Neodiprion lecontei: one gene and its partner. The protein of the gene in region 2 interacts with the protein of the main gene of each other region in a biochemical or structural test. Links are inferred from orthologs where the notes say so. Each region holds a gene or a part of one and is shown on either strand. Other genes may lie near its edges.

Region 1 (7,215 bases), on a different chromosome or scaffold from region 2:
AATTTGAAAGTATTACATAAATTTTACTGCGAAAAAAAATATTTGAGTTCGGGTCTTTTGGATGAGGTTCGAGTTAATAATATTAAGGTAAGGAAACATTTTTAGAAACGTCACTATTTCGCAACTTTGGAATTATTTTTCGTCGCGTCGGCAAAGGAAATTGTTACTAATGCTCGTCTGAAAAATTCGTTTTTTTTTTTTTATTGAGGTAGCTCGGTCACCTCGTCGGCCACGAAATCAATCAAGCTAGAAAAAATTCATACTTCAATATATTCAAGTTAAAAAGTACATTTTCACGTGTGCCAAATTTCACTGTCGGAAATGTATTCCTTGACGCACAATCTTGCCAAAGAACTGATATCGAAAAGCTCCGTTTGCAAAGTAAATATATTTTTGAGTGATAAAATTTTTCGAAAAGCGATTGTAATGATTCAAAATATTCCAAAAAATCATCAGGCAATGGATTTGGATTGAAAGCAATTATTTGTGAAGAAAAGTTAGGATCAGCAGAATCGAAAAGCCACCAAATTCCAAAAGATGAGGAAATATCTCATTTAGGTTCTTATTTAAGTAAACGAATCAGTTCACCAAATGTCATTTCCCAATTCGAACATTACCGACAAACAGAGACATATTTTAAATAACCTTTTCGGCGCAGAAAAATAATACGATCCTTCGTAATTGGGCAAATAACATCGAAGCTTTCGTACACTGGCCTAGAAGGTAATTTAAAACTTGGTCAACTATAAAAAAATCACTGCGAACGGTTAATTTAAGCTGGTTAAATATTCGGCCGATGCTGATTGATAGAACGAAATTTTAGATGCTTGATTCCATCTGATGATTTCTTAGCTTTAACTTTAACTTAGATTGAATATTTTATTGCGGTATGTTCGTTTGTTACTCGAACAAGTGAGAATAGGTGAAATCTCAAAGGTTCTTAATCAAGCTTGACCGATAGAAATTTGAGACACACAACTTGAACTGCACTCGTGTGCGACTGGCCGAGTCGGTTGTTCGATTTGAAAATGGATCGCGTTGTGTTTATTAGTTCCGCCTTATTCCCGTGGGGACACGATTCACATATAACAGCTATGACAACATACAAACAGAGTTAAAGTTCTTCCCCCTCCTTATACATCGATTGTGAGTTCAGTGCAGGACGTGAATCACGGTTTACAAAATATGTGGTCAGTGCGGCGATCGAGGCCAAGCCCAAAGTAAATAAAATAAAAAAAGTTACTGAAACTAGATAATTATACGCGGTTCCAGCAACTCTCGAGCCATGATGAGTGCGTAATTAATGCAGATGATTTAATAATTCACGGAAGGATACAGATTCGCGATTAATTCGCACCCTAATCTGGAATTCGTACTGTTTTGTAAATTCGTTAATTCTTCAAAGTTATTCCAAGCTTGCAGGAGAGTGTTTTTCACCAATATTTCGTTGTGTCAACATTGCAACAATTTCTCTTCCATATATGAGGGTGAAGTTAGTAACGTTGTTGCGACGATTAACGTTTCGAAAAAACCGTTATGTCCCAGTTGCAATAATGTTTAAAATTCAGTGAGTCGTAACAAGACAAGAACTTGACTACTTCAAACTCACTGTAAACTTGAAATATAGTAATTTTTCGTTGCGTCAAAGTTACTAACTTCAGCCTTGTTTCCATATCTCGAATCCATCCAGCTTCACGTTTTTTTTTTAGAACTTCAATGTATACACGAAGCCATTTTTAACCGCAGCTGCGGATCCTGGCTGATCCCATAGGAAGAACCCCATGGGCAGATTTCTCCGTTCCAGAAACGTGCACAGCTGGCGCATCTTGGGTCGAATAATAAACGGTTTAAAATCAGTTACGTTCAGACACTTTTGGTACCGTTTTGCAACGCAGTCATTGAAACCTAACCGCAACGATGCCCTGACGAAGAAATTTGCGTGAATAACGTTTTCGCTAACTGCGAGTTAGGAGAAACTTTCCAAGCTTACGTTCTGTGGAGAAGATGGAAGAACCCATCTGCTCAGTTTTTTTTTTTTTTTTTTTTCTATAACGTTCACACGTGTACATATGGAACATTCCAAAACATTTCGACTTGCTCGCGATCCACACCATCTTCAATTTCATTCTCCAGTGTACGTTGCTTGGCGAATCGCAAAAATGCAATTTCCACAGTTTCAGTTTATTTAGAAAATGGGCTTTCCATCAACAACCGCACGGTCCTCGAAATTCAACAGTTAACCGCATAATTGATTTCAATGAAATTAATATAACGAATTCTTTGCCGAAAGGTAAAAACTTTCACTCCGGAATGAAAATTGGTGTGGATTTAATTTGAAAGAAACGAGCAATCTGATATAAAAATAGGGGATTTGATCACGAACCGTAAAATCCTCACGCTGGAGATGTTTCAATAACAATTCATTTGGTTAAATTTATCAAACCAGATATCCACTAATTTTCGCTTTAGTGTTAGACTGAAAAGTTTCGTTTTTTCGCAAAAACTCACTGACATAAATTTCATTGATTAAAATTAACCACGTTGTCAATTGATTTCGCGAATCGATCAATCGCAAGAAAATCGATTTCTCTAAAAATGACCAATTTTGCAAACCCTCTTTATCCGCATCGTCGAATAGGAGAACAGAATTGAAAACAGTGAGGATCATGAGCGGGGTCGAAATGGCCTGGAACTCCCCATATATGTACACAAATAAACGGCTCCTCGGGTCGCTTTCTACCGTCTCTCAGAGAATTAAGCCAGGACCAGTTTTAAAACCTAACATCGAATTCGTTTCCTCCGATCGATCGGAAGAACTTGGAGTTGTCTAAGAGCTCAACGATGTCGGTTGACCGAGGATCGTACAATACCGTAATCGCGTTTATCTCATAGGGGGTGAATAAATATTTTCCGAATGATTCGTCACCGCTCAATCCAGCTCTTAGTTTTTCGTCTCGAGTTGCTGGACGGCTACATACCGATATTCGGAGAGTGTTTCCAGCGTGGGTTGTGGCTCTTTCGAGCGGATGGTGGGCGGACGGATGGTTCCCCATGGTATCGATGCCTTTGGTTCAGGTAGTAAGTCGGGGGAAATATCCGAGAACAGGTAGTCGGTCAGTCGCGTTTACGTTCGTGTCGATCCGTGTTGGAATATATATATTTTCCAGCCTTCTCAGGGACGCGAAGCTGCACAGGTGCGGCCGGTTGCGTTAATCGAACGCCAACCGCGCTCAGTTGTCAATTCGCGAAAACTGCAACCGCCGTTTCACGCCTTCATCATCGGAGTGCCCGATAGCCAATTTTGTCACTCCGATTCCCGTTTCACCGACAACACAAGCCTCGGGGATTCGAAACTCACTCTCGATCACCGTCCCTCGATACTTGACCTCGTCGACCTTTTCCGGCCTCTTTCTTTTTAAACTTCACGAAAAACGTCACAGCTTCGAAGCCATTCCCGGCTGCCGCCCACCGCCTGGGCTTCTTCTATCCGTACTGACAAACGGGAAACGGTCAAACTTGGCTCACCCAACCTGCCTTTCTTACGATGACGTCACTCAAGAGTCTCTGCTACACCGCCGGCTTCTTCTCGCTTACGACGCGATTCCGTCGTTCGAAATTTCGAATTCGAATACCACCCGCCGTTCGAAATTTCAAAACCGAATCGCGCCCGACGTTCGAAATTTTGAAACTGGACTTGCTCCCGCTGTTCGAAATCTAGGTCAATTGAAAACTTGACTCAACTCTGCCGTACGAGATGTCACACCTTGAGATAATACCGACGTTCGAAATTTGAAAACCTTGCTTGCTCCCGCCCTTCGAAATTTGATAACTCGGCTCGCTACCACGTAACGGTTTTATTCGAACGCCCGAAGCGACGTTCCGTTGTCATCGAGACAGTTCAAATATTCGTCTGTGGTAAAGAAACGATTTTTAACGATCAATTTTGAATGTGAAATTCAGGTGATCGACATTCAGATTCGAGTGGCCGTTCTTATATTCGGTTTGCGCGAGTTTCACTCGCCATTTTGAAGACCGAACCTCTTTCGGTAAGCACCTGTAACGAGTTTATTAATCGTGCAACAGCTGTCACGAAACCTCTGCTCTGAAAGTGTTCCCACGTTTTTCCGTTGGCGCAACGTTCCGCTCAGTTTATAATACACTTCCGGCGACCCCACCGGAACTCGGAACTTCGTATGATCTCTCGCTGGACTAATTATTCAAACAATCGAACGCAAATCGAACAATTGGTATCAATATTCCCAAATGGTAAAGAATCCTCCTTTCACATCTGCAGAGATATTCTCCTCCTGACTTACAAACTTGGTAATCAACCTTTTATTGCTTTCGTTTAAATCGAGAATTATTGCGAACGAAACCGACAACTGTAAACATTGAAATTCACAATTTCATTAACTACACTTGACGTTTATATTCCAACCGCATCCGGGAGCGTCGTTTGTTTTCCGCTTCATAGTCTCTTGTTGTTTTTCTTTTACATCGTTTCTTTACAATGTAGTAGGAAAAATAGCAATATATCAGACTCGGAGTATGAGAAATTCACTTGATCGAACAACGAATATCGACGGTCAATCTATGAACGATTACCGCTTTCACGTCTCGGTGAATTCCAAATTTCGGATTCGAACACGACAAGAACGACACTTTTCTACACGAATATCACACAAAACACGACACCATGGAAATTGGACGATATCGAACCGTTGAGGCCGTTTTCGATGACGATTAACGGCTGAACCACAGCGGCCGCCGCTGCGTTTTTCCCCCCAAACCGAATGCGGTACGCGTACCCAGAATACTACGCGGCTCGTTCGACTCGATTCAAACTTGTACTCCACGAGGCGTTCTTTCTGCCTGCTGCCCGGTTCTCGTTGTAAGAACTCTCGGTAGTGGGGCGAAATGCCGGCGAGGAGTGGGACCACCAGGAGGGGGGGGGGGGGGGGGGGATCGGCTTGGAACGAGAGGTCTGATCCCATAGCCTCTCTTGTTCCCTCCACACAGGGCTATTTATAATATCGTATAACTCGCATTTCAGTTACAGTTGCATACATATATAATATATATGTATAGGTATAGTTACATTCTCTCGGCACGCATCGTGTACCTTATACCTATCGGTAAATATTATACCCATCTTACGGTAAGGTAACGAAGAAGACTTACGGAATGAAACGCAGAAAGTGAAAGTATAGATATGAAAATTTTTTCAGCAACCGACAAATTTCGACAATGTCTTTTATAGATTGTAAGATACATCGGTTTTCGAAGTTCGTTTTTGTCTGGAGTATCAATTTTTTTCTAATATTGTAAACGAGTATTTTATAGATGATAACAATAATCAACAACAATTTCTCTGGCGGAAAAAGATACGCGCTGAGGAAACTTTTTATTTCAGGCACACACCTTGGACGAAATATAATTTAACGGGTTTCGAAAATGAATTGGAAATGTTTTGAAGTGAATTATTTTTTTCAATCTCAGGTGGTATTTACAAGAACAATAATAAATTAGAAGATTACGAGTATTCTTAACGATTGTCAATAAGTATCTTATGAACGGTGAAAAATAAATCTATCTTCAGGTATATTGAAAAAATTTTAATTTCTCGGTAAAATTTTGTACGTAAATAAAAATTCAATAAACTTTACATGCAGTTTAAATACATAGTTTTCGTTTTATTTCATGTGAAATTTATAACTGTAGTATTTCATAAAATAACAATATTATGCGGCCAGAATTTTGCTAACATTCCTGAGAACAAGAAAAACTTTGAAACATTATTTCGAAAAACTTCAAATTTCATAGTACATTTACCATATAAATTGAAGTGTTACCGCAGATTTCAAAGACGAAACAGTGAAAAAAATTAATAAAATTCTCAATCAGTGTTTCATAAAATAATAATAATAATAGTAACAACAACAACTACAACAACAACAACAACAACAACAACAACAATAATAATAATAACAACAATGAACAAGAAATGTGTGAATATTCGTCAAAATTATCATTTCGAAAAATATCGATGTGGGCAGAAAAAGCTTCTGACACACTCAGACTTTCGGTGCGTATATTCAGAAATTTCTCCAGTTTTTAAACATTTTTCTGGTTACGATTCTGTGAAGTTTAAGGAAACTCTCATTCGCAATCACCTTCCAAAACTTACTAAATTCTTTCAGTACAGCAAAGGTCTTCGAATATGTCGGAGAGGTTCTACCAAACATATTATCCCAATATGGTAATTAATTTTTCGGTTCTGCTTTGACCTTAACAAACATTCAAAGATCAAGAAGCAGAAAGGAAGAAAAAAACAGTAAACAAGTACAAAAGAATCCTCTTCGTTGTTTCATATTTGTTCATTATTTTTTTTTCTTCTCTTGTCTTTTCGTTTTGTCCATTTAAAATTTTTTGTTTTTTCCTTTTTTTTCCCATCTTTCCTTATACAGAGAACGTGAATCGGGGGTTTTTGCAGAGACTCCTAGTGAAGGTTTCACCGTCGGTAAAGGACGAGGTGAGCCTGCCTCCGTTTAATGATGGGGAGAGAGAAAGAGCGAGAGGAAGAGAGAGTGAGAGTTGCGCAGCTGCCACGGCAAATGGTCGTACATCTGCTGAAGAACAGAAGAACTGCATCCAGCAAAGTCTAGCTAGGCGAGTGACGTTAATACCCGGCTTACAGACGTGCCTTCCTACCTAGAACTTCTTACCACGCATTTACTTACCAACAGAAATATAGTGTAACTCTTCAGGGGTAAGAACCCGCGTTGAGGGACGGAAATCGAGGCCAAAAAATGTGGAACCAGAAAGGGAAAATTGTAAGTGCGAGGAGTGAGGAAAAAATGCAAGGGGGATTAAGAGAAAGGGAAGAAAACTGCAACTGTTATACTCAAAAACCGATTTGTACAATTATTTCGCACGGCAATTACTGACACGCAAATTTGTCAAATTTTGAACAAAGTGATAACGTTATATTGTATATTATAAATTGGTAAAAAATTTCTTTGTCTAAACACCAGCGGAAAATTCAAGTAATTCGATTTAAAGGACAAATTTCTGTTACTTTAATTCAGTGTTGTCAGAAATGGTAATTGAAGAATCGAATATTTGAATGGAATAATTGAAATATTGATAGAGATTTTCTTTACATTTTTGAAGAACAAAAAACTGCTGCGTAAATCCCACGCAAGTACGCAAACT
Region 2 (7,623 bases):
AGATTATAAAATAATTTTGGATTGTTCAATTACTGTAATTCTCATAAATATAGTAAACATGAGACAAAATGATTACATTGTAGAAATATAGAAAAAGGTATTAAACGGTATTTTCGTAATGGATATACATATTAGCTATATACTTTAGCTGCAAGTGCAATCGAAATTGCGAAGTTTTTTAGTATATAAATATGATGAATATCATCACAGATACGATACGTGATAAACATAGAAATGATGTTAACCCCTGTACCTACAATGTCATGGGAGACGTGCTACGTCGATCGGGCCAAACATGAGAATCACGAGTGAGAGCCGTGATATTTACACATATGACCGACCTTGCTGTTGATTATAGGCTCACGCAATCGGAACTTAAATCGTAGGTTAAGAGGTTAATACAATTGGAGTAAACTTTAGGACATAAGGTTGTGCAGTGTCATTTAACAAGTCTGAACCATTAAGGGAGAATACATTGTACATATACAATGTAGATAGCTGATTTTTTATGAAATTCATGTCTCAGAAATTTCTTCAACATTGAGTTTTGCAAACTTTGCTTTTCTTTTTGTTTCCGATCCCCCACATTCCTTACTGCCTTTTCTTCTTCTTTGACAATTGTTCCCAACACTGTCCAAATCTTTTTCTCTCATATCGTGTAATACAGGTGGTGCTACTTCGGACAATTCTATAGGAAATTTAAAAAGCTTAGCTAAACGTTCCTCAAATAATTCCAAGGCTTGTCGACCCTCTGTTGTCATCCTATAATCTTCAAGTTCATCATATTCGTCTTCCACCAAATTATCTGCCTCAAGAATGTGTTTTGATAATAATATTCCACGAAACCCTAGTAAAGTTGTGTAATTTGGAGGTATCAGCATTTCTGGCCAATACTTGGTGAGTTTCCTTCTGGTAATTTTCGAAGATGACTCATTTATACCTGGCATACTTTGCTCTGTTTCACTTGTATCTGGATTGGAAACGACACCTGATGTACTTGGGGCGTTCATATCAATAATTTCACTTGCACTATTTAACTTCCCACTATTTGGTAGGGAAATGAATTTTATCGGCAATAGTTTACCGGATCGTTCAGGTATCTCCTTTGAAAACACAGTATCTGTCGGAAAGTTTTCGGTTTTGCCGATAAATTTCTTGGCCATCTTCTCAAATGCAAGTTCGCTTTGCAAACCGCCCATTTGCGATATGACTAGCTCAGGTGTTTTGAAGTTTTTATCTAGTTCAACAGTGGTTGGCTCGTTCGTAGGATCGTAATTTATTCCGGTAACTGTTCCTTTTTTAATTCGTGAGATAATTTTCTTACCATCAAATGGAAACGGTGGTATAAAACGATCTTCACACTCTGTCACCATAGATGATCCAAACATCTTTTGCCTGGTATGTTCAACCAATTTTTGTTGCATGTCAGACGCCAGGGTTTCATCCCTTGAATACTTTACTAAGGAAGTCAGCAGCTGCTTATCTTTTTCCGTCAACTGTGGTTCCTGGTCGAAATCATCAGGAATATCAAGATCAGCATTCAGCAGTTGCAACATAACGTGAAGCCTCGGAGTTTTATAGTTGAGCTCCTCGGCAGTATAAAATTTGCTGTTTCTTCCAGGTTTCGAAGTGGTTCGATACATTCCTTTGAAGTAATCCTGAAGCTCTATATCAATATCAGATAGATTACTTCTCTTTCCATCGTTTCCATCCTTTTCATACGGAGTTCTCAAACACCTACTTATTTCTTGAAGCCTTTCTTCACCAGTCATCGTTGAATCTTCGATGCAAACTTCTTCAGACTTTTGTCCCCACCTGGGTATGGATCTGAGGGACAAGCCCCGACTCAGATATCGGAGTATCGACGTATGGCGATGTCTAACTTGGACTCTAGACTTGTTGGAGAATTCTTTGGAAATAGCGGACCAATTGTTGCCAAATTTTTCAACGAGATCTACCAGTTTGGTATCGTCTTGTAAAGTCCACTCATTTTTTTTCTCATGCAGAAGTGTTCTATAGTGATCGTTCAACTGCGCCGTAGTTCTGTGAGGCAGCAGAGAAACTGAAATTTTTGTAAAATTAGCCCCAAACTTGTTAACACCTGCAAGTAGGAGCTTGTCCTCTTCTTCGGTGAATCTACCCTTTTTCAAATTAGGAGCAAGACTGTAATTCCAGCGCATGTATATCTGCTGCTTTCGTCTCTGTCCCATAAGCTTAGCGACCTCTCCCCATGGAATAAAATTCCCAGTCCTCAATCCATTTACAGCGTCAATAAGTTTCTGGTCTTCTTCTTTTGACCAAAAACTGTTCCTGTTCAACATGTTGTTTCTAAAATTGGTATTGAATCTAATAAAACATTGATATCCTGTACGATTTGTGCCCAATTTTTCAGCCACTAGGTCCCAGTTTTGAAAGTTGTAATTCTCAGCCAACTTTTTTAGATCCATATCCTCAGCCTTCTTCCATTTACTCTTGTTGATGTCAGGATGTAGGAAAACGTTCCACATTGCTCTGCACTCGCTGGCGGAATGTCTCTCATTGAAATCGGTTACTGCTATTTTCAACCAGTCAAATTCCCTCGATCCTATCGGACCAACCAAGTTCTTGAAGGTCTGAGCTATCTGCTCCGGTATTCTCTTAGCCGTCAGCTTGAATTCCAGGTTCAGAGGATCCTCTGCATAGCTCAAGTGTTGCCCGTTATTAGGTTGTTGTTTTCTTGCTACTTGTTGGGCAATCATCTTAGCCTCGCAAAAAATAGCCTCCCATAGCGTGTTCCGATCTTTCAGAGTCCATCGCAAAGGGCACGGAAGTTCAATGATCTGTAGCTCACCACGATTGGCTTTCAACTTAGCGTCCTGGTTCTTGGGTGCAGGAAAATGACGCTTGTCTTTGAAATATGGGATCCCGCTAATGGTTAATAGCGTTCTAGAAAATGGGTTGGAATTTATCTTTTGAAGTTTTTCATCTATTAGCACTTGTTTACGCTGACACTCTTTGAGCAAGAGGCGAAGCTTTCTTTGAGCATTCACCAAGAGATTTATTATTTTTCTATTTAGATTCAACGCAGCCTCGGGACTCGAAAGATCCAAACTGCTATTGATATTCTCGTTCCATTCGTTATCACTTTCTTCGCCATCGACAAGTGGGTCGACAGTGCAGCAGTCCTGAATCGTGCTCGACGGGGATAGAGGATTGTTCGCTTGAGACGTTGACGGCTCGCATTGACTGTGTTCTGTTCTAAATGGATCTTCGGAAACCAACTCCTTTTTCAAACCGTCCGATTGTTTTTTCGTAAGAACTTCTTGGAGAGCTTTTATGTCGTCGAGTATTACATCCTCGTCCTCTAAATCACTCATTTTCCTGTTCGTAGGTTAACAACAAGGGACGAATCCAATCAGCGGCGTTGTGATATTATCAGTAATTTGACGCTAATTCGTTGGCAAGGTTAAAACCGACGGTAAGAGAAGTTTACGTTTGGGAAAGACTTGTATGTTTGCGGTGTTTGGTATTTCAAGACTTGACGTTAGACCGGAACTCAGGGACATATGTTTCCGGTGTATTAGCCTCACTTCAGTTGCTGCAGCGTGACTTTTTGCCGCGCATGCGCAACTAACGCTGTCTTAAAATGTCGGCTGGGTGAAATACGTTGAATGTTATCATGATAAAATTGATTTTCGTTGGTTAAGTTTACGCGCAATTTCCACGCGGATTGCCGGTCGAGGACGCAAATATAGTTGGAATAAAATAAGGAGTAACTCCGCCGGCCAAGACTCGTCTATAAATCGTAAAACACTGTGTGAGGAGGCCTTATGTCAAGCCAGTCTAATATTGGGTGGATAGCCGAAGAAGTAGCGCAGACGACAACGACGTGCCAAAATGAAGAAACTCTTCTCAAAAATCGAAACAAAGATTGACAACACAGCCAAGGAGCCAAACAGCTATGTCGGCAAAGTATTTGTCGTCGGCCGTCACACCGTTACAGTCGAAGATGTCCTCGCTGAAGGTGCGTAACCCGCGACGTGTAATATCTCGTCCCTCATCCTCGATCGTTTCCCGTCTTGGAATCTCTACTATCGCTGTATGTCGCTATGTTTATTACAATTTCACGGCCCTTTCATTTCTTCGCGCAACAAACACCATTTTCAATATTTTCAACGATTCCGAGCATTCGTACGTACTCCCCATTTATATCCAACTCCCTTAATGGAATCTAATTCGTTTCCGTTTCCAGCCTCGTACGTAATTCGTTTTATTGTTTTTGCAACGCGAATTATTCTCGTCGATTCACTTGTGCAAACACAACGTGGGGTTGGTTTGAAAAACAGAAGGCTCGAAAGAAACCTGAGGAAGGTGCGTAGTTGTTTGTATCGTGCATTTCAGTCAGCCGCAACGATCATTCTTGGCCATTCTAACCAGCATTACCTGGTGCTATGGCCTTTTAATCTCATGTCTCAATCTTATCTACCGGGACTACAAGTTTATCGCAAGACAAGCACCGTTACCGTGATAGATTACCGAGTGTTATTAAACTTTTATGATTGCAGGGATGTTCTCCTAATCTTTCCAGATTTGAATAAAAGCCGTTCACTTCTCTCAAGTTTCTTTATTTTCCTTTCATTACAAATTTCTCACTAATCCAACAAACCACTCCCACAACTCGGTACGCAATACTTATGATTCATTTATTGCTAAACTGGGAATAAAAATGACTGGCGAAAAAACTTTCTTTATTCAATCGCATTGAATCAGTATCATTTTCAGATGATACATTACAGCGCTGCTAAAAATCACATACCAAAAACCCCTCACATCATACGCAACATGCAAATAAAAATTTAAACATTCATCTGCCAAGGTTAAAAATATTAACTCGAGCAAAGCGCTAATATAAAACAATTGGTGATTTACATTAATCAGACTGAATTATTCGATGTACTTATTGAACTGTATCAAAATGACACTGGCATATAATCTAGACTTTCCTGAATTAAAACAGCTCAGTTTCAGACTACAGACATGATACAGCTCTATCGTCATATCAAGTTGACATGTGTTAATCTTACATATTTATTATTATGATACTGACAGAGAGCATGATATGACACAATAAAGAAGGGATCAGAAAAATTTGAAGCTGGATACTTAATTACTCGATTTACTAATAATAAATTTTAGATGTGTTGGAAAAAGCAATTTTCACCTCACTATTGAAAATAATAATTAGATATACTTAAATTACATCCCTAATTCCAGGTGGCTTTGCTGTGGTATTCTTGGTCAAAGCATCGGGTGGGCGTTATGCGCTCAAACGCATGTATGTCAATAATGAACATGATCTCAACGTATGCAAAAGAGAGATACAAATTGCTGTAAGTATTTGAAAATCGCAAACTCGTTTCAGAATTTTGCTACAAACAAGTGCCAATTTTGTAGCAAAAATTTTATACGATGAGATTATGCCCTTTTGATACTCTCGAATATGTAAACCCAGGACATGGGAATATAATTAAGAGTAATTGCTTGTTCTACAAAGGCTCGCTTCCTTGCCAGGTTGTGTAAACACTTGTGATAACTTGTCATATGCCTGTATAGTTACACAAACAGTAAAGTGAAAATATTGAACATGGCCGCTCGGCCAAAGACAATTACATTATCGTTGCTGTACAATATAGCATATCAATTCAATTTTCAGAGCAATCTCAGCGGTCATAAAAATATTATAGGATATGTGGATAGCAGCATCACTCACACTGGAGGTGGGGTTCATGAACTCCTCCTTTTAATGCCATATTGCAAATCTCATGTTCTTCAAATGATGAATAACAGGTCAGTTATACGTGGATAATGTTTGTGATTAACATTTTAGTTTTACTTTTACTGATACATTCAATTTTCGGAGCAGACAAAAGATATTTATTAGATATTCAATTGTACAAACTAGCAATGTCCATCTATAGTAATCTCACACATACCTCTGTTCGTTTCAAATTTAAAAACAACAACGTTTATCCTTTAAATCATGCAGGCTACAAACTGGATTCAGCGAAACTGAAGTCTTGCAGATATTTTGTGACGTGTGTGAAGCTGTCTCGCGTTTGCACCATTGCCAGACGCCTATTTTACACAGAGACCTTAAGGTAGGTCAGTCTTAGAAAAAAAAACTTGTATCCAATTTTTATTTCTTTTACGTGTTGATATTGCTAGTTTCAATGGTGATGTTCTTATCTGTCACAGGTAGAAAATATTTTGCTAGCAGATTCTGGTCATTACGTACTATGTGATTTTGGATCTGCAACTGGAAAAGTATTGAATCCAAGTGTTCAAGGTGCTTCTATAGTAGAAGAAGAAATTAAAAAGTATACAACTCTTAGTTATAGAGCTCCAGAAATGGTTGATATGTACTGCGGCAAGACCATCACAACAAAAGCAGATATTTGGGTAATTTCTGATGATTATATTTTTGAATTACCATGTGAATTACATGTCAATGCAGGTTGAGAAGCTGTAGAAATCCAAATTTTGTTCGTCATTCCCTCTTTTCTAAAGAATTTAATTCTATTACAGGCTCTAGGATGTCTGTTATATAAATTATGCTTTTTCTCGTTACCTTTTGGCGAGAGTACGCTTGCTATTCAATCAGGAAACTTTACCATACCAGAAAGTTCGAGGTAAACTTTTGGCTTATCTTGAATATTTTATTGTAGTAGCATGACTGGTTATATTAACTTTTTTCTCAATTTACAGATATAGCAAAGCACTTCATTGCTTAATTCGATACATGTTAGAACCCGATCCTGATCTGAGACCAGATATATACCAAGTTTCGGTAGTTGCTTTCCAGTTACAAGGCAAGGACTGTCCAATACAAAACCTTCACGTAAGTATTTTTTACTGTTCAATTGAGTGGTCCTAGCAATTGGCAGATTATAATGACTCAGATTCAAAAGATTATTGGAAATTGTATTTTTGTATATTTACAGAAAGCTCCAACCCCGGTAATAGAGTCTCTACCCTGTCCTCTTCTGGAATCTGAAGCTATCAAGCGTTCTTCGGTAAAAATTCAAAAGCTTACACAAGTTACGATGGTTGAAGGGACATCGGTCGCACCGAGACAAAGGCCGAAAGGTCAGAGTGCAGCGGCTGGTCCCATAAGTTTAAGTGGTCAAATCATAGGTCAGATATCGGGGCAGGGCAATCAATTACAATCCCAAACTACACTTGGGAATTCAATTCCCTATACTTCTGTTAGTCAACAGATCCCGCCCATTAATACTCCACAAGCTTATCTTGGACAAAGCGTTCAAACAAACCCGCAACAGCCCTTACAGCTGTCTGCACAATCATCCTTTGTTCAGGTCAGTCCTCACATCTCATCCCCGAACCAAGCCATCCCCTTTGGCCAATCCCAGGCCCCCTCGCCGTTTGGCCAATCTCAGAGTCCGATGATTAGCCATTCTCCTCTCCCTCATCAATCCCCGGTTACTATTCAGGAAAAGAACCCGTATTATTTCGATTCAAGAACGACTGCCTCAGCTGTTAAAGAGGAAAATTTGGATGCCTTATTTCCCTCGTCTGGTGAGTTAATTCTCAAATAATATAAAATCATCAATATCTTAGATACAA

The links.
Region 1: the proteins of BMP-2-inducible protein kinase (region 2) and protein numb form a complex in vitro, tested with the Drosophila melanogaster proteins (3 studies listed by BioGRID). The link is inferred for Neodiprion lecontei from reciprocal best matches to the Drosophila melanogaster genes Nak and numb.

The regions. Positions count from the first base shown.
Region 1 is NC_060261.1:16,629,626-16,636,840, forward strand, and holds the start of protein numb, read right to left. Parts: upstream 4,853-7,215; 5' UTR 3,054-4,852; coding exon 2,979-3,053; intron 1-2,978.
Region 2 is NC_060260.1:5,815,981-5,823,603, forward strand, and holds the start of BMP-2-inducible protein kinase, read left to right. Parts: upstream 1-3,619; 5' UTR 3,620-3,876; coding exon 3,877-4,003; intron 4,004-5,253; coding exon 5,254-5,369; intron 5,370-5,692; coding exon 5,693-5,826; intron 5,827-6,025; coding exon 6,026-6,137; intron 6,138-6,234; coding exon 6,235-6,438; intron 6,439-6,564; coding exon 6,565-6,668; intron 6,669-6,744; coding exon 6,745-6,877; intron 6,878-6,980; coding exon 6,981-7,575; intron 7,576-7,623. Other genes in the region: snRNA-activating protein complex subunit 4, read right to left, coding at 516-3,356.